Linked DNA regions of Drosophila melanogaster. The protein of the gene in region 3 interacts with the protein of the main gene of each other region in a pairwise test. Each region holds a gene or a part of one and is shown on either strand. Other genes may lie near its edges. The genes, in order: Cpr56F, CkIIalpha-i3, Cpr97Eb and CG5674.

Region 1 (6,090 bases), on a different chromosome or scaffold from region 3:
TACAAACGTAAAAAAAAAAACAAGCAGAAGACTGAAGCTGAAAACTGAAAACCGAAAACAGATTTGAAGTCGTTCATGGAGTGCTATTGAAAATGAATTTCAGTTTTGGTTTCCGAGACAAGGAATGCGGCATACGAAGGTTTATTTATTTAATTGTTTTGCTTACATTTCAAGATTCATATTAGCCATTATGAAGTCAAGTCTTAACTGCTCTGCTATAATTTCTGTTTGTTTATTTGAATTTTTCGCATTCGCATATTTGCACACATAACTCCAAATGATCTTGGTAATTACAAAAGCTTGGCTGTATATTCTCTAATTTATTTTTATTGTGGTCTGTGGCAAGGTCGAGTATTACTTGCAGAAAATCACTTGGGGGAATACGCAGCGAGGAAGCAATTCCATCCCACCCCATCCCTTCAATCCCTTCAATACCTCATTAATTTCCAGCTCATTTGGGGCGTGGCTTCGCACGGCCTTTAAATTTACAACTCATAAACTTGGCATTATCGAATGTGAAAGTCAGCTCGTGCCAAATCGCAAAATAAGCAGGGTCCGTTATAACAAAATGATAAAAATTTTAATTTGCTACGCATTCGACCAATGAGCCAAAAGACAATTGACCAAAGAAATATTTGCAGATCGTGATGGATGCTACGCCCACTGTTTAAATGAACATGGAATATGGCAATAAAAATATTGAATTACTTTTCCCTATTGTCAAGTATTGTGTTCGAGTATTTTTAAAGAGTTCAAGTTTCCTTTGTTATGCAATCGACTTTTTAATGGGATAAATAAGTATCCAAAACTATTGAGCATACACATTTCAATACGTTTTGCAGGAAATGGACAAATAGAAAAAAAAATTATGTTATTTTTTTTAAATATGTGTTTATTTTAAAACTTATTTCTCTCTACAAATTATTTGTTTATAAAGTAAATATATAAATAAATTGATCTCATTTAAATTGGAGCAATGTTTCACCCATAAATGAATGTTGAAGAGATCTTTAGGTAATTTTGATTCGCAAAGCAACTACAAGCCGTTACTAATGCTCAGTTTAATAACAATCAACATTTTCGACACCAGAGCGTATCTTTCCCAGCAAGGAAGATAACGTATCTTAAAACTCTTTTTCCCTCGCTGTGCTCACAGCTCAATTGCAGCTTATCCGACTTGAATCCATGTCAACGCCAATCCAAACGGACACATTTGTGAAGTCGGGGGCATAATCCAGCTCATTAGTTGTGCTGAAAAACAAAACCGAGCAAAACCCAGCGAAAACTCCCACGCACTAAGGGGAAACAATTTGCAGCAGCATTGCCTGCAGCAAGTTCGTTGCCTGAGTCTTTTGTTTCTGCTTCGCCTTTCGAGGCGGCCGCCGCTGAAGCTGCCGCACGACTGAAGCTGAAGCCTCCGATGCGAGATGAAGATGCGTGGAGCAGCTGCCTCCGCTCACTTGGCTTTTGGACGCTACCGTCGACGTCGCTGCCCGCTGCCTGCTGCATGACTAATTCCATTACAAATAAGTGTTTCTGCTATTACACGAGCGGCAACAAATGTTTATGGCCTGCAGCCGCAGGAGCGCGGTACTCCCTCGTCTCATTTGTTTGAATGTTTGGCACTCATCTTCGCTCATTTGCCGAACCCGACCGCAGATACGAAGTCAGCATCGTCAAAATGTTTGGCGCTTTAATTTCCAAAGTAACTAGTTTACTATAACAAATCCACCTCAAGCGATTTCCCTCTTTTCTCGGCAGCACCACCGAGAGCGATTTGCTCTTCCTCAGCTCCGTGTGCTTTGCATTATTTTGTAATGTTTTTCAAGTGCTCGTTCGGCACTGTGGCACTCATTTTTTTCTCGACTAACCGAAAATTGAAATAACGAACTAAGCTGAACAAAAAACACACACATTTTGGCGCGCAATTTTTTGAAGCCGACGTCGACGCCGCCGCGTTAGCTGCTGCTCATTTCAAATATAAATACTGGCCTACGAAATTGTTTCAGTATCACAATCAAGTCAACCATCTTCGCAAGAAGAACACAGCCAACAGAGCAAAGTTAACAAAAACCGTTTTCGTGTGTGCCAAAATCCCAAACAAGTGACAACACAAAATGAAGGTATATAGCCGAATAGAACTTTCGAGTCAAGTGCCAAGTGGTGTGCTGTGTGAAAAAAAAAAGTCCTCACAAAAGGATATGGGCAGCCAAAACGAAATACAATGCCTCATTCGGCATTCGGGAAACGATATGACTAAAGGATATAAAACTTGAATAGCTATAAAGATCATTCAATATAGGTCCTTTATTAGATACAGTTTCGACCTTTTGTTAAATTTTCAAAGGATATTGAAGTTTGCTGTAGCTAACATACAAACAACGTTGGGTTACAAAATCTTAGAATGATCAAATAAACATCACAATATTTGCCCATATCTTTTTCTGCATTGCAAAGGTGCTAAAATATGTTCGAATTTTGTATTCATTTTTCTGTATCCAATCAATAGCCCTCATTTAAAATCGTTTTTGGCAATAGATCGATCAATCAATTAAACAACTCATCAAACTAATGAAGCTTTCATTGTCTCACATAGCACTTAATCAGCTAATCGGAAGGAAAAGACATGAAATATTAATATTTGAGCCATATTAAAAGTCAAGTTCAGCTGGGTGATTAATCAAGCGGAGATCCGCATAATAAATTTCATAAGTTGCCATCATCATCGCAGTTAAGATTACCATCAATTTGTTTAGGATAGCTACTGTTTTTTATGGTAGGTTGCGGAATTAGAACACCGATATCATTCGCCTGGGAAACAATTGCAACCAGCGATCCCAGTTCATTTCTAGGGTGTGGGTAACAAACAGAAGCAACAACAGCTGCCGCTGCTTGGGGTCATTTTGCAATGAATAAATTAGAGAAACTTTAAGTGGCGGAAGAAGAACTACTGGACATGCCCAAGTAAGGCAGTCTGGAGATGACCAGGCGGCGATAAAAAAAAAATACAGACAAAAGCGCAGCCAAAAAGCATAGCATTTTAACGCCAATGAAGCATGAAAGTCATTGACGGCCCTGTGCCTAAACACTCGGCCAGAAGATCTTTTGCACAAGATTCGGAAATAAGTTGTGTAAGAGTGAGCCGAAGTGGTTCTCCCACAGGTTGTCCGCGCCACACGGCGAATACTTAAGATTCAGACGCATTGCGCAAGATCACGAGATTAGCCCTTCACTTGCAGCCCAGCTAAATCCAATCCAATCCGATGGGAGCTTCACCTGGGACCCAATTACTACAGATTTGCATATGCCTCAGCTAAATGCTGTAAAGATGGGAAAGACAAAGCCAATTCTGGGCCTGCTCGCAGGCCATCAAATCCAAACAAAAGATTGTCAAGCGGGTCACAGCCTGAGCAGTTATTGTTATGAGAGTTTAATGAGCTGGCAGCCAGCCGGGCGAACAGTGCCCACTTATTCGAGAAGTACGCGACAGTTGCTTATGAGAAATTTTAGCTTTAGGATCAAATGTGGGATGGGCTATCGATTTCTCCTACTGGCGTCATTGTCACATCTTTTTGGATCTCAGCGGCAGTACGGTAGGCCGTGGGGTGGATTTTAAAGCCATAAAGCCTGGGAAAACATAGTTACATTAGTTATACATTATTAGTAACTACCTTAAAAACATAGGGAAATAGAAGGAAACACAGGAAACGGAAGATCTAACCTGGGCACAAACTTCTGCTTTGCCCGCTTGGGCCTAGCATCCGGTTTCTCCATAAAGAACATATGAGGGAATCCAGTGCCAAAGAAGGCTCCATCCAGATTCGAATGTCTCGACGCCTTGGGAATGTACACATCATTGCACTTGGGGCAATAGATGCGTACCATATCCTCGCCAGGATTATCACTCAAACCAATGGGCAGCACCGGCTGGCTATGGCAGAATGCACGTGGACATGTGCCGAATTCGCCCTTGTTGTACTTGTCCAACATCAGTTCGATGCCCCTGTTGGTTAGGATAAAGCGAGCATGGATCAAGCCATACAGTTTCTCTGCACTAGCCTCCAGTTCTGGTTCAGCGGGGTCTTCCGAAGCTGAACCCGGATTAAGATCCAGGATCACCTCCAAGGCACATTTGTAGTTCTTAACGTTCGAATCAAGAAAGTTAAGGTTAAACTTGTCCTGGATATATTCCTCATCCACCTCGCAAAAGAATTCGTTGCCACGCTGCTTGCAAAACCAATGAATCCAGGAAGATTCGTCCGAATCGGTCATAGCTGCTTCTTTTAAGCTTTAATTTAATCAGTCAAAATCACGAGAGCTTAACAATAGGACTTATTTAATTTCGAATGACAGCTGTCAGGGACGGAGTGTTCAATCAAGGGTTGTCAACTCAAAACGAAAACTGTAATGTAAATGCAACCCTGAATTTTCATTCCCAGGCTTTTACATCCATTGCCCTGCTCGTGTGCCTGGCTGCCTGGACCCATGCGGAACCACCAGTTCCCCAGAACCAGTACCTGCCCCCCAATCAGTCGCCTCAGGCGCCGTCCAACAACTACCTGCCGCCCACGCAGGGCTACCAGTCGCCGTCGAGCAACTACTTGCCACCCCAGCGGGCCGGTGGCAATGGAGGAGCGCCCAGCAACAGCTATGGCGCCCCCATCGCTCCTCCCCAGGGTCAATATGGTGCTCCAGCGCTGACTGGTGCCATCTTCAAGGGCGGAAACGGAAACGGAAACGGCGGCTATGGCGGCGGTAATGGCAACGGCAACGGCTACGGACAACGGGATGAGGAGCAGTATGGACCGGCCAAGTACGAGTTCAAGTACGACGTACAGGACTACGAGTCGGGCAATGACTTCGGCCACATGGAGTCCCGCGATGGTGATCTTGCTGTGGGCCGCTACTACGTCCTGCTGCCCGATGGACGCAAACAGATTGTTGAGTACGAGGCCGACCAGAATGGATACCGCCCAACCATTCGGTACGAGCAGGTCGGCAATGGCAACGGAAACGGCAATGGCAATGGTCGCAACGGTGGCGGTTATGATAGCAACGCGCAGCAGGGCAAATTCAACGGCTACTAAGATGGGGAAGTGAGGATACCCGATTTAGGTCGACCCCGCAACTATACTCGTCTACTTCATGGGATCGCTGGCCGAGTATTAAACGCACATCCAGCCAGTGGGCCAGCGATCGCAGTCAGTCTATCCATATAACCCTATTCCCATCTCTGTGCATACCCTTAGTGGGACGCCCGCCATTTTGCCATAGACAGGCGCGTTCCTTTCCGTTTCCGTTTCACTGCTGTTCGTTATCCTGTTTTCCGTCTCTACACCTGGAACTCCTTGCCGTTTTGTTTTGTTTAAGCGCCTTCATTTTGTGTTAGTCTACGCACACACTCCAACACACCATTCACCCACAACATGACCATTACGCATTCATACATACATGCATAAGGATTGTATTTAGTTTTTAAACGAAAATGGAAATTCGAAAGTGAAACGAACTTATGAGATTTTTGTGTATATTTAATAATTATTAAATGAATAAAGAAGCATTTTTGTATAAAACAAAGTCAAAAAGAAAAACCAAACTGTTTTTATAATTAACAAGATAATTCATTCTGAGAATTGAATACATTGCACAACTCTATTTTACATATTCAAATAGCTATATCCAAATTGCCTACTTCAGGACCCGCTCCAGTTGTCCCTGTCTGTTGTATCGATACACAGGATCCTTGAGTTGCCCCACAGTGGAGTAAGTCAACTGAGCCGTAAAATCATCTGCATCTGCATCTGCGTTTTGCTGGGAGCTGAAAGAAACTCTTTGTAGTTTATTGTCCTGCGAAATGACGAAGTAACGTCCCTCTCTGATTTTGGGCTGCTGATTGTCTACGATATTTTTTGCAGTAACTGGCTCCTCATCATCAGGATAAATGATTTTAAATTTCGGATCTGCCGGACCGTACTTGTTGGACGGTCGTGAGGTGGGCAAAATCTCTTCCTCGGGTATATCCAGTTGATTTGGAGGCAAATAATTTGGCTGGGGCTTTTCCACTGGATCGAACTGGTCCACTCGTGCCTT
Region 2 (4,038 bases), on a different chromosome or scaffold from region 3:
AACCTGCGGCAAGTACTCACTAAATCCTTACTGCGAGATTTTTAAATTCAAAAACTACATAATGGCAATTAAATGAGGCTAAGATGAGTATTTATATAAAATAAATGTTCTCTTCGGTAGCGAGTATTGATATAGATTAGGCAAAAAATCCATTTTCAAAAAACGAAAGCCTATTCCCATCTTTGTTTCGTGCAACCTTTTCGATAGTTATCGATAGAGAAAAATCGAAACACATATGTTTGGATCATGATACCTTTCTCTTACGCCGTCCGAAAGAACTGGCAGCCTGGGAAACAAAACTTATTCGTCATCAACTGAATAGCTATTGTAAACAATGGATACAAAGTGTGAGTAAAAAACATAAATTCAAGAAGAAAACTATATATATACTCACAATAAGCCAGCTTACGAAAGGAAGTGGTGTACATCCAACACCCGACTTTTATTGTCCCTTTACAATGAACGCCAAGCTGATTTTCGGGATCCGAAAAAAAAGATCAAGGACATTTGGGGGGAAATGGTCGTTGCCCTTGAAAGCCAGGGAATGACAGATATCGATGCAGTTCAGCTGGATCGAAAATTTAGGAACCTGAAGAAGACCTACTATAGCATAAGGAGCAAGCTCCTGGCGAAGGTACCGCATTTCCATCCAAACTGGCAGTTCTACGACGAGATGTCCGAAATTCTAAAGGATGACCCTGTCCCACCGCCGCAGGAACTTTCCATCAATGATTTCGATGAAGCGGTGGTCAGTTTGGAGACCGGTATCCAGAAAGGCAGGATGCTGTCTATGGGCACCACTGTCAGCACAGTTATTCCCCGCCAAATGCGTACGTATCGCAAACGAAAGCAGCCATTGGATGATGTCGATATCAAGATCCAGAAGGACTACGAAGTGCAAACGGATCGGCAGCGGGATGGGGAACAGTTTACAGTCTTTAATGCCGCCGAACCCAATACTAATGATTTGTCAGAGTCTGCGGCCGAGATCTCCATCAGCAACGACGAAGAGGCATTGAGACACCTAAGAGCGCTCCAGGAGTACGCCATGATCCATGATAATTTCAGGGCCATAGGACTGCTAATACAGGTGGAGCACGCCATTCAATATCCAGCCCAGATCAAGGACTTCGAGGTGGATCAAACGTAGTGTCCTTATAAACAAGCACGTAATCTACTGGAAAAGCAAAGATAAGATAAGGCACATACCTAATTTATACCTCTATATTTAAGATTTTAATATTTTATAATATATATACTTTAATTTACTTTATTTAAATATGGTTCATGCACTTGCTAACACCACTGAAAAATGAATCTGGTTCTAAACAAATCTGGCTTGGGTATTGGCTAAAATATTGCGCTGTGGCAATACCGTTTTCTAAAACCTATAGTTACAACAATCTAAAGGAATTTCACAAGAAAAACCAACATTTCTGAAATCTTATTAGTATTTTGAAGAGTAACAAAGTGAATCCTGCCGAGATCAACGCCGATCTGTAAGCAAGTTCGTCTTGGAAATTGACAAAAACCGAAAAATCTGGCAGCACCAATATGACACTAAAGGTTCAAGAAAAGACCTTCGGTTGCACAAAATAGAAAATTCAAACATAATTGAAAAGAATTAACTAGTATCGTGAAAACATGTAATACAGTTAATAAAAAGTTATAGTATTATGCAATATTGATCAAATGAAGCAAACTTTATCGATAACTTCGAAATTGCAACCCTAAATGCATCGGATGGGCAATACCAATCTGAAGTCTACAAAAAAGCATATTGTGGAAGTCTAAGTTTTGTTAAATTTATGGAAAAGGAATCCAATTTATCGGACAACTTGCAGTCCCGGTTATTTGCACTGGGTCCTGCCCCGCCAGGATTTCGTCCACCGGATGCTACCGCCTTTGCCACAGCGGAGTCAAATCTTCGTAATGCCATCCGCTACCTTAATGATACCTATGGCGAGCTCGATCAGCTGCGCACTGTCATCCAGAAGGAGAAGAATAACTCGAAGCGTACGTCCTACAAGGCGCAGTCCATGATGCTTGCCATGCAAGTGATACGTTTCAAAGGACTTATTGGGAAGTACAGGGACATTCTGATTGGCCTGCAGGATGCCGAAATCATCAAGGTCAAACAATACATAGAGCAAATGGTGGAGATGAGGAACAAAATCCAGGCAAAGACCGATCCCACACAGCGCGAGTTCCAAGTGGGCAGCTCAATCTCACTGGTGCAGGAACAGCGCAAGACCAAGAGAATCTGCCGCAGGTGGCGGGATCGCCTGGTCCAGCTGACGGAGGCCAAGATGGACAAAACTGAGCAACTTACTGAGAAACCAAAGCTGATCAATGTAAGAACCGTTACAAAAGAACTTATACATATTTTCATTGCGCTTCCAATATCCATCCATGTTTTCATGAAAACTCTCATCGAATTCTGATCGAATTTCGACTGAACTCGATATGCTTTTTTAGAAACCTAGAAATATGTTAAATGCAAAAACCAACAAGTGGAAGGAAGCTGTAAGCTTGGTGAGTATAGCCAAACATATAAAGGATAAGTTAAATGCTAGTAAATATAAAACTAATCCTAGCAACAAAGCGGTCTAATTAAAAGTGGCTGTAAGAGGTGTGAATACCTAAGAAAGCTGACTAAGAATCGTCCATCCAAACTTTGTAAGGTGTGTAAAAAATGGTCTGATGATGAAAAAGCAAAAGCGGCAGGAAATAAGAAAGCCAACAAAACGCCAATAATGGTATGACACTATTGAAAAGTCGCAACATAAATTAATACTATTATTGCAGGCGAAGTCGAAAAAATTAGAAGTACGCGTGCGTACGGATTCTGAAGAAGCTATAATTAAAATAGAGATAGAGGTGGGTGTGTACAAGTAGATCAACAGTAACATTAGCACTTATTATTAATTTTCTTAGCATGGTGAATTTACCGATGAAGAGGAAATTGGGTCATTGGAAAAGGAAACGACCTTAAAAGATGAGATCAAGGAGGTTAGTTGTTTCTTCAACCTGAAAAATGTGTTTAATTTTGGAATGTTTTTTTTTAGACTGTTGAATCTCACGACACGGCAGCAGTTGAGGTAAGTAAACAGGTCCTTGGACTGTAATAGAACTAACGTAACGATAAATGACTCAATGACAGGAGGAAAATGAGACCAGTCAAGACGATGTGGACCCCAAAGTAGTCGCTTCCTTACAAAATTCACTGAAATCCATCGACTGTAAAAATATGGCCTTGGCCTACGTGAAGGTCTTACAGGAGTACGCCATGTTAAATGATAACTATCGGGCCATTGGACTACTTACTGAAGTTGAAAAATCAGTTTTAAATCCGCCTCAGAACGAGGATTTCGATCTATGATCTTATTGACGCCACAAAAATAAAGTTTAGTTTTTATATGTAATCTACAATTAAAATGTTCGTGTGTCCTGCCTTTGAGAGTCAAGACCCAAAATGTGTAAATAATTGTAATATGCGAAAAGAGTTTATAGAGTGGAATAACCAACAGGGTCCCACTTAAATGTGGTAAACGTTAAATTAAGCACTAGATATAATTTGAGCAAAAATAGCTTTATATATATGTATGTGTACATATCAAACCAGTTTCAGCTCAGATTAGGTGGTAATGCGATTTGTGTTTTTCGGCATGTTAAACCAGTTATAGCTGCTTTAGCGAGAGAATATTTACTCTCGATCCGAAAATAAATCCCATACCGCGAACGAATACCACCACGATCGGAATCGGAACGTGGGAAGTCGGTTTAGATCGCGAGAGAAAGAGCGGAATGTCTCTCGCAAAGATACGGTTTTTGCCGCTCCGCCAAACGGAGGAGAGTCCAGATCTCTGCAATGTTCGGACCGCATGCTCAGTCATTGAGTTGCACTCGCTCTGGCAACTTTAAACACGTGCGACCGCACATATTTTCTGTTTAATGTGCCTAAAAAACTGCTGTATATTTTCAACAAAGTGTACTTTATGCTCTAAGCTTTCCGACTGAGGTATGTAAACAAGATTT
Region 3 (3,588 bases):
CACCACCCAGCACCAAGTACATAGACCATAGACCATAGACCATACTTATGGCCAACAGCTTATGGCCAACTGGTCGGCCGTTGGTGGCAGTGCATTTGAAAGTGGTTTGGGGCCAGCACATTGCATAAGTGCACCAAATTCCAGTCAACAGCAAATCCACTTTGGTTTTCAATCTGAATCGGCCACAATGCTTGCCTTTTTTTTGTAGTTTTTTGTTGTTTTGGCTCGATCATTCTGTGTTGACGTAATGGCCTAACGATTATTGGCCACTTGCTGGGCTCTTTGCCTTTATTTCAATCGGCTGGATTTTGCTACAATTTCTGCTGTGGGGCGGCTTAATTGAAGCGGAACCTGGTAGTTGGCTAAATTGAATGCCAAAGCAGATATTTCAAATACTTCTGAGCACTGAGAATAATTACTTAGCAGTAAATGACAGCGAAAAGGGTAGCGTAAATTGATTGAATGTTTACTAGTTGTCTTTAACACCCTAATTGCCTTTGATTTTCATAGCAATTACCAAAACATTTAATGATTTCAGAACACTTTCGTTTTCTCTGTAAACGCTTCAGGTTTCAAAACTCGATTTATTACACACATTCAAGAACATATATAAACAGGTACAGTAATAGATACATGTGTGGGGTGTGCGGAGTGACTGATTTATTTGGCAGTAACAAGTTGACATTGTCCTCGGACACTTCAGTCCCTGACTCTCTGGCCCAACTCAGAGGTGATCCCCCCATCAAAAGGTCCTCCTTCCTACTTCCGGCCCGTATAGTCGATGCTATAGGAACCGGTGTAGAGGTTGAGATTTCGCAGGGAGGGATGATGTTGCTCCGGCAACCCCCTGTATGGCTGTTGCTGCTGGGGATTATAGTAGTTCTGGGCCGGAGGCTGGTAGTAACGGGGCTGCGGAGCCGGGGGATTGTAGTATTGGGGTGTGGGATTGTAGTAGGGCGTTTGTGGGGCGGGCTGCCGAGGTGGCGGGGCATACGCCTGCTGCTGGCCGCGGCCGAAATCGTTCAGACTGAATTTACTGGCCGGTGAAAGGGGGCGATTGAACTTCTGGTCCTTGTAGTACACCGAGGGGTCCTCACGATACTGGCCATCGTCCAATTCGTTGGGTCCCAATGGATAGGGATTGCTGTTGGTCAGCGTAGGTGGTGGCACATTGATGTGACTGCCAGCGGGCTCAAAGCCACGCTTACTGGCTCCATACTCTATTTCCCGCACTTTTCCCTGGTCATCCACATAACCGTACTTTCCATAGACCTCTCCATTCGCGTACTTGGTTTCGATCTTGAAGCTCTTATCGGCCGCTTCGTATCCATATGTGTAGGAACCATCGTCGTTGTGCTTGTCGATCTGCTTGAGAATGGGCACCGGTGTGGTGTAGTCCTGGTGTTGCGCATACGCACTGTGGGCCGCCAGAAGCAGAAGACCCAAGCTCAAGGTCTGCAAATTGAAAAACAAAGAGTTGAGTGAAAAAGTGACTCAAATCGTTTGTATCATTAAATCACCATTTCGGTCACACCCATCTGTAAAGTCAGCAATTATACATGAACTTTGCCTTTATTGCCTTACTTTTGGCTAAATACCTTAATTAGCTGCTCTGATTATCAGTTCACAAACATTCACTCAAGGACATGGCTGAGTAATGAACCACCAATTAAGTTACTCTTTATCATAGACACCGATCTGATCAAACCGGTTGGCTAAATTGCATTCTAAAAATTCACTGCGCATATTCTGAAAACACCTTTTGCATACCGATATGAATATCGAGCTTTGGAGATGTAACACTATAAACCACCTTGCTGAATCTTACCAATTTCAACATGCTGCCAAGCTTAGAACCAATTGTCAATGTCGAACCGTTTTCACCAATCTCCCAAAGTAGTTATGCACTGCGAAAATGGAAAATGTGTTCTGCACTTGCACTCGAGACTCTGCGAATCGAAACGACAAACTCAAAAGAAAATCAGGGCGTGCAACGCTTTTTATACCGCAGTCAACATTTCGCAAAAGCGGGCCAAGAGGGGAAAAAACCATGGCAGAAACTAAAGCTTCAAGCCGAAGTCTCTGGATCTGGCGATCAGCTGCGATCAGAAAACGAAAACGAATACGTTAACCGAGGCCCGAGCTCCCGATCCGATCCGAGAACCGATTCGACTTGGCTTGGAATGCAGCATAGAAATCGAAAGCGGTCGTCGGCCAGCTGTACTTACGTCCGATCGATATGCCCACTCACTCACCTCTACAGGTAATTCACTTACCAGCAGCAAGCCGACGCGCAGCAATTTCCAATCAGGTTGTTAATGTCGTCTACTCGAATTCTTGGCCAGCAATTTATGCTTCCAGACCGCAACACTCACGCATACGCAATGAGATCAGAGCAGCAACAGTGATGAGAACTAGGTACACTTGGTACACTTACACTCCATATCCTACTCATATTGGCACACTCTAGTTTGAGGTACAAAGTGCGATGTAAAATAGTTTTCAAGTGCCATCTAAAAACTTTTACAATTCACATCGATTTATCAGGTGTTAGTTATCTTTAAAGTTTATTTCATAGACACAATTAAAAAGTACCTTTGGCATCACTGAAATCTACAATCCAGAAAAGAATAAAATGCCAGTACTGCGAGGTGCGGAAGTGTTGCACTTGCTAAGCATTCCAATTATGCAAGTCAATTCCCCCCCACCTGCTAATCGATTGCAAATACCTGTCCAAACACCTTGCTCCCAGTTAAGTGCACTGGCCAATGGCAATCTGCATCCACAACATGCAATTTGACAGCTTATTTAGCCATTTCTCTTAGCCTGTCAAAACTCACACTTGAAGCTAGGAAAAGAAAGCAATACAAAAACTTATATGCTGGCATACTGACCTAGTCAATGCTTTGGCTAAAGAAACAGGTTGCTGAAATTACGTCATAGATAGGCAGAAAAAAATGTGATGGTTTGACTAGATCTCTGGAGATTTCTAGAATTTAAATTAGTTTATATGATGTTTTCTTTTTATTTCACAAACAACCAGTTAAGTAGGATCCAATTTATATAAAATAAATTGCCAAAATCCCCAAGCCACATTCAAAACAAACACAGTTGTCAACCTACATTATAATACTGAATTTATTCCATTTATTTCGGGGGATTTGCATTCATCTATCTGAAATCACATTCTACACTGTGCAAAATACACCAAATAACAAGTCATATAGCATATTCATCAAATAATAATGCAGAACCACAGATTTTCAGGTCTCACTGTGGCAAAGAATAAAAATGTATGCGTATTTAAAATAAGAAAATTCCCATGATACATAATTCATAATTAGTTGTTTTCTGTGTAGGTACTTATGTCAAAACCACAAGTTCGTTAACCCAAGAACCGCAGACCTTGGTCATGGTTGCATGCAGATAAATACATTCGCTTGGCTTCTTTTCCTCACTTGAGTATGCATATATGCAAAGATAGTTTGCTAGAATTGTCGCCTATAATTAATTGGAATATATATTCTTAAGAGAGATCTACTAAACTAAATAAATCCGTCAGCATTACAGTCGTCGCATCTTAATGAT
Region 4 (4,623 bases), on a different chromosome or scaffold from region 3:
AATGCATAAGAAGGAGGTCTTTAAACTGTTCTTCCTTGTAGCTAATTGGATTTGAAGTTCGGAGCGGAGTTTATGTATCTTTTGATATACACATTCACTTTATATCCTTACTCAATTACCTTTTCAGCCTTATCGCGCTGCCTAATTCCTTAATCCGCAACTAAATTTCCATTTGAAGCGTAATAAATTATTTATTCTCAATAGCCGACAGCACAACAAGTTGGGAAAGGCGTACAACAAAATCTGAGAAGTCTGCATAGCTAAATTTGCAAAATGTGTTAACAAACTGCCACGCCCACCGATACGAGGCACTGTGATTTGTGCGGAGGGCAATTTATATGCCACAGAAGCCGGCTGCCACGCCCCCTTCTCGGTACCGGGAGGCACTTTACACTCAAATTGTGTTAATTTGCATATTGGAAACTTTTGCCTAATTGAACATAATGCCACTTAATTAAAGTTAAGACAAGTTTTTGACGGTAAAATGGTTTTGGGCCTGGGGGATGTCGGGGATGTCTTGGCAACTAAAAGTATGCCCGACATTTATGGCAGTTTGTTGTTGAAATTTACGGCAATTAGTTTAATATGAGCAGATTATGAGGGACACAGGACGCAATAAAATCCCTTCGGCGGTGGCAAATTAATTTTTAGGGGCATCCCCGAATAAACACAGACACTGAGACATATGGAAATCAATTAGCTCTTCAGAGTCTAAGTCCTCGCCTTAAATGTTTAATGGCCCATTTTTATGTTTGCCTTTGGCTGCCTAATTGTTAGTTGTTTAAATATTTACTTAGAATTAGTTGGGACCCAAATGACAGCGTGTCAAGGGTAGGAAACTAATGTTAAAAGAGTTTCGTTTGGTTTTTATTTAATATTTGCGAAGGTGAATTGCTATTCAAGTGTCAGTCCAACACATTCTTCGCTTCTCTACATATATATTTGAAATATATTGGTATAAAATAATATTGAGTGGTGTTTAATAATCTTCGACTATTAGCGCTGTTCCGGCCAAGAGAATTTGTTCCGCAGTTCCGGTCACAATATCAACATTTAGGTGGCAAATCAATTTGTCGCGACTGCTCCGAGAATATAATGGGAGTTTGGGCTTCGATTCAGCATTTTGCGTGGAATATAGCGAATTTTTGCCGTATTTTGAGGAACTAGTAGTCGTATGACTGACATTTTGTACTTCGTCTTTTATTTTGTACTTGATGTAGAAGGGGTTCGATTTTCCCATTCCACTCTGGGCGCCATCAATCTGTAATGGAAAATGAATAGTGCCAAGTTTAGTTACTAATGAAATACTTAGATATATTCCACATTACATATATTCACAATTGCTAAAAACAAAAAAAAAGGCGAAAAGCGGGTAGATGATTTGCAAAGTTTATTCTCCAAGTCCTAAAATGTATATACAAAAAAATAGTTATTTGTTTTTTTACAGTGTTAGTTCTAGCAGGTACACCCATCAGGGCATAGCGGATGCACTCCCCATAGTCAGCTTCCAAACCGATTATCGATTGGCATCGAATACGTAGATATACAAACGAGAAGGGAAAGTAAAATGTAAGTTTGTGCTCAGAACTGCTTATCGATAGGCATCGGACAAGGTGCCATCTCTAATTCCCCCTCTTGTACCGGAATGTCAATCAAATGAAAACAAAAAAAGCGGCGTGAGAAAACTGAAAAGAACGGGCATCCAGTGCACATTTCAAGCTTAATTTCGATGCATTGAACGGCGGCGGCGCACCGAAAACAGGAGGCGCAGGATTACGGATACGGAAGCTATGGAAACGGCCAGAATGGAGACGGCGATGGAGACACATTTTATGGCCAAAATGGGGAAGGTGAGGAACAAAGACAAGAAGCAAACGGGCAAGAGGGAGAGAAGATGTCATCAGTCTTCGTCCCAAAAGATAAATAAGTATCTTTTGGGATTTTGGATTGGGGGAATCAATTTGGACTATGGATGTATGCATATCTACTATCCAGGTAATCCGTAACAGAGTATTGTTACTGTTACTACTACTACGTGTGCATCCAATTGTATCTGATATAGCAACCTGGCAAAATGTATCCCAAAATTATTTCTCAATGTTTATTGTATTTACTGTAACGCTTCTCGAGGGCTTATGATATTTAATGGTTATCCCCAACTTAACCAATGCGCCATCTACCGCGAATATTATAGTTATGGCAATTTCTTGGCTGATTATCCTGCGATTAGTTAAATTTCCTTTTATGGCTTCGAAATATATTCTTAGTCGCTAAAGAAGAAGACATAGAAGACATAACCCCTTGAATCATGAGTAAGTGGCTTGCTGAATTTGATTTCACAACTTGATGTCAAAACATTATCGGTTAAAGATACTAATTCTTACTCACCTTTAGCGGCGCCAGCTTGAGTATTATGTCCGAAGAATCACTTTCCAAGTTTGAGGAGCCGCAAGTTTGCAACTCCAGGCGTTCGGTGGAAACTGCCAGTTTTCGAGACTGCAGCAGCTTTAAACAGGACAACAGGTTCTCACAGTTAAACACCTGGACGAAATTGATATCCTCTACAAAATCCAGATGCATTTGCTCCCGGAATCGAAGTTCGGCAGCCTGGGCTCGAACGATTAGGGCTCTTAAAAAGTCCACGGCACTGTTGCTGCCAGGTCCAGGCCATAGTTTAAGCCAACTGGCAGGAATCTATGAATTTCAGTTTATTATGCATTTTCAAGTTACGTTACTGTACCCCAGTTTCTTACCTGCTGTTCTGCCAGAGTTCTCAGAGTGCTGCCATCCACCTCCTGCGACTCCTTAAGCCAGGCATGCATCTGCGACAAAGTCTGGTGAACTATGCCGTAGAGATCCGCCCCTAGTTTCAGTTCAGCCAGCACAAAAAGTGCCCAGGGAGATTCACCCACATCAGTTTTTGCCTCCTTCATAGTCTGGATTATGGTACACGAAGCCGCCAACTTTCTCCATAGATTCAGTAGGGGTTTAATTTGCTGTTCCAGCTTCTGACGACCAGTGAGCTGATCGTTTCCCTTAGACTCTCCTGCTCCTCCAGAATCCTTAGCCAAGCCTCTTCCGTAATGCAATCCCCTGAGTTCCTTTATCACTCTTTTGGCCTGTTCAATTTCGCGTTGCTGTTGTGCCTGATTGGCCAAACCATACATACTGGGCTCATCTGTGTCAGGAAGTTTCTCCAATGCAGCGTAGTAGTCCTGCAGTTGACCGCTAGTTGGTATGGATAGAGATAATCCAAGAGGTGACCAACGATTGCTTAAGACGTCCGCTGAACAAAACTGGTTCAGATAGGTTGTGAGTATCTCCAGATCCCTCTGATTATTTACTCTTCCGCCATAAGCGAGGGCTTCACTGAGACGTTGCATCAGCAACCAATCGCATTTTCCTGAATTAAGTTGCTGATCCATCATTCTTAGGATACCCAGAGCCGCTTTTAGATCTGCCTCACCGAATTCATAGTATTTTGACCAACCTTGTGGTATAAACTGTCGCCTTTGTTGAAGCACAGCTGTTAGGACAAAATAAACCAGTCTCATCTTGAGGCTCTTTGGTTGGTTTTTAAGCTTTTGATCCTGTTCAGCAGCGAAGTTCTGGAGCAAACGCATCACAATCTGCTTTAGTCCCTTAGGCTGCTCATAACGTACTTTAAGGCATTTATAAATGGCAGCTTCGGAAAATCCCTCGGTTGATTCGCACAATAGCCACAATCGAAAGTCTTTCGATTTTTGAATTTCACTTAATTCCCTTTCCATTTGAGTTAGAAATTCCGGCACCAAATGGACATTCTTAACGCATAACCAGTGGCCATCTATGGCAGCCTGACGCATTTCGGAGAGAACTCTTTTCTCAACACCTTTTCCAATAGCCATTTCTCTATACTTTTGATTGGCCCACTTTCTCAATTCAGTTGTTGGATCATTTTCCGCATGACTAACCATCAAAATCGGGCGATCACAGCTGCTCTGCTGCAGCAACTGCTCCACAGAAGGTTGGGTGGAGGCATCTGGGGAAATTCCCAGCAGATCGCTACTCACTTTTCGCAGTTGGTGAAGCATCAAGTCGGGTCGGAAAATCTGAGCAATAAGCACACGCTGGAAGCTGGACCCCAACGCAGCTGTAAGTTCGAAAATAAATCTGAATAAGATGAAATTAACTAAATTATTTCTACAACTTACGTAGCACATCATCCGCTTGAGCCTCAATGAATCCGCGCCAGATATAGTCCTTCTCCAACTGGAGCTTGCTTCGCAAATCTGGGAACAATTGGAGTAACATAGCCAGCTTTAATTGCGCTTCCTTGGGCATGCAGTCGGGCAGTTTTCCAAGCTGACTTAGCACCATACTGCCATCAGAACTACCCATGAAATTGTTCACAAACAGCTCCCACTCCTTGGGGTTTAATCTATCGGGATATGCCTGATGACAAACCCACAAGGATAAGGATAGCTGGCTATCTCTAGAAGTAGCTCTAGCTAAATTCATATAAACACTTCGTACAAGACAATCATAGACCTTGGACTCATCTCGTTGACTTTTGGAAAGAGCCCCCAAAAATAGTTCAATGTAAACAAGAGGGGATAATTCATAGCCCTGGATGAGGCCTGC

What was found.
Region 1: the proteins of Cpr97Eb (region 3) and Cpr56F interact in a two-hybrid assay, tested with the Drosophila melanogaster proteins (one large-scale study listed by BioGRID).
Region 2: the proteins of Cpr97Eb (region 3) and CkIIalpha-i3 interact in a two-hybrid assay, tested with the Drosophila melanogaster proteins (one large-scale study listed by BioGRID).
Region 4: the proteins of Cpr97Eb (region 3) and CG5674 interact in a two-hybrid assay, tested with the Drosophila melanogaster proteins (one large-scale study listed by BioGRID).

Annotation. Positions count from the first base shown.
Region 1 is NT_033778.4:20,287,861-20,293,950, reverse strand, and holds Cpr56F (cuticular protein 56F), read left to right. Parts: upstream 1-2,005; 5' UTR 2,006-2,117; coding exon 2,118-2,123; intron 2,124-3,400; exon of another isoform or gene 3,401-3,518; coding exon of another isoform or gene 3,519-3,627; intron 3,628-3,721; coding exon of another isoform or gene 3,722-4,272; exon of another isoform or gene 4,273-4,406; intron 4,407-4,439; coding exon 4,440-5,087; 3' UTR 5,088-5,580; downstream 5,581-6,090. Other genes in the region: CkIIbeta2 (casein kinase II beta2 subunit), read right to left, coding at 3,519-3,627, 3,722-4,272; CG34199 (uncharacterized protein), read right to left, coding at 5,689-6,090.
Region 2 is NT_037436.4:708,054-712,091, reverse strand, and holds CkIIalpha-i3 (CKII-alpha subunit interactor-3), read left to right. Parts: upstream 1-1,730; 5' UTR 1,731-1,734; coding exon 1,735-1,782; exon of another isoform or gene 1,783-1,808; coding exon of another isoform or gene 1,809-1,844; coding exon 1,845-2,354; intron 2,355-2,478; coding exon 2,479-2,535; intron 2,536-2,597; coding exon 2,598-2,759; intron 2,760-2,808; coding exon 2,809-2,880; intron 2,881-2,937; coding exon 2,938-3,012; intron 3,013-3,068; coding exon 3,069-3,101; intron 3,102-3,163; coding exon 3,164-3,382; 3' UTR 3,383-3,491; downstream 3,492-4,038. Other genes in the region: CG13896 (uncharacterized protein), read left to right, coding at 335-347, 405-1,150.
Region 3 is NT_033777.3:27,089,152-27,092,739, forward strand, and holds Cpr97Eb (cuticular protein 97Eb), read right to left. Parts: upstream 1,980-3,588; 5' UTR 1,841-1,979; coding exon 1,829-1,840; intron 1,456-1,828; coding exon 760-1,455; 3' UTR 553-759; downstream 1-552.
Region 4 is NT_033779.5:17,961,756-17,966,378, forward strand, and holds the start of CG5674 (uncharacterized protein), read left to right. Parts: upstream 1-1,623; 5' UTR 1,624-1,790; coding exon 1,791-1,850; intron 1,851-2,388; coding exon of another isoform or gene 2,389-2,694; intron 2,695-2,753; coding exon of another isoform or gene 2,754-4,132; intron 4,133-4,193; coding exon of another isoform or gene 4,194-4,623. Other genes in the region: btv (beethoven), read right to left, coding at 980-1,261, 2,389-2,694, 2,754-4,132, 4,194-4,623.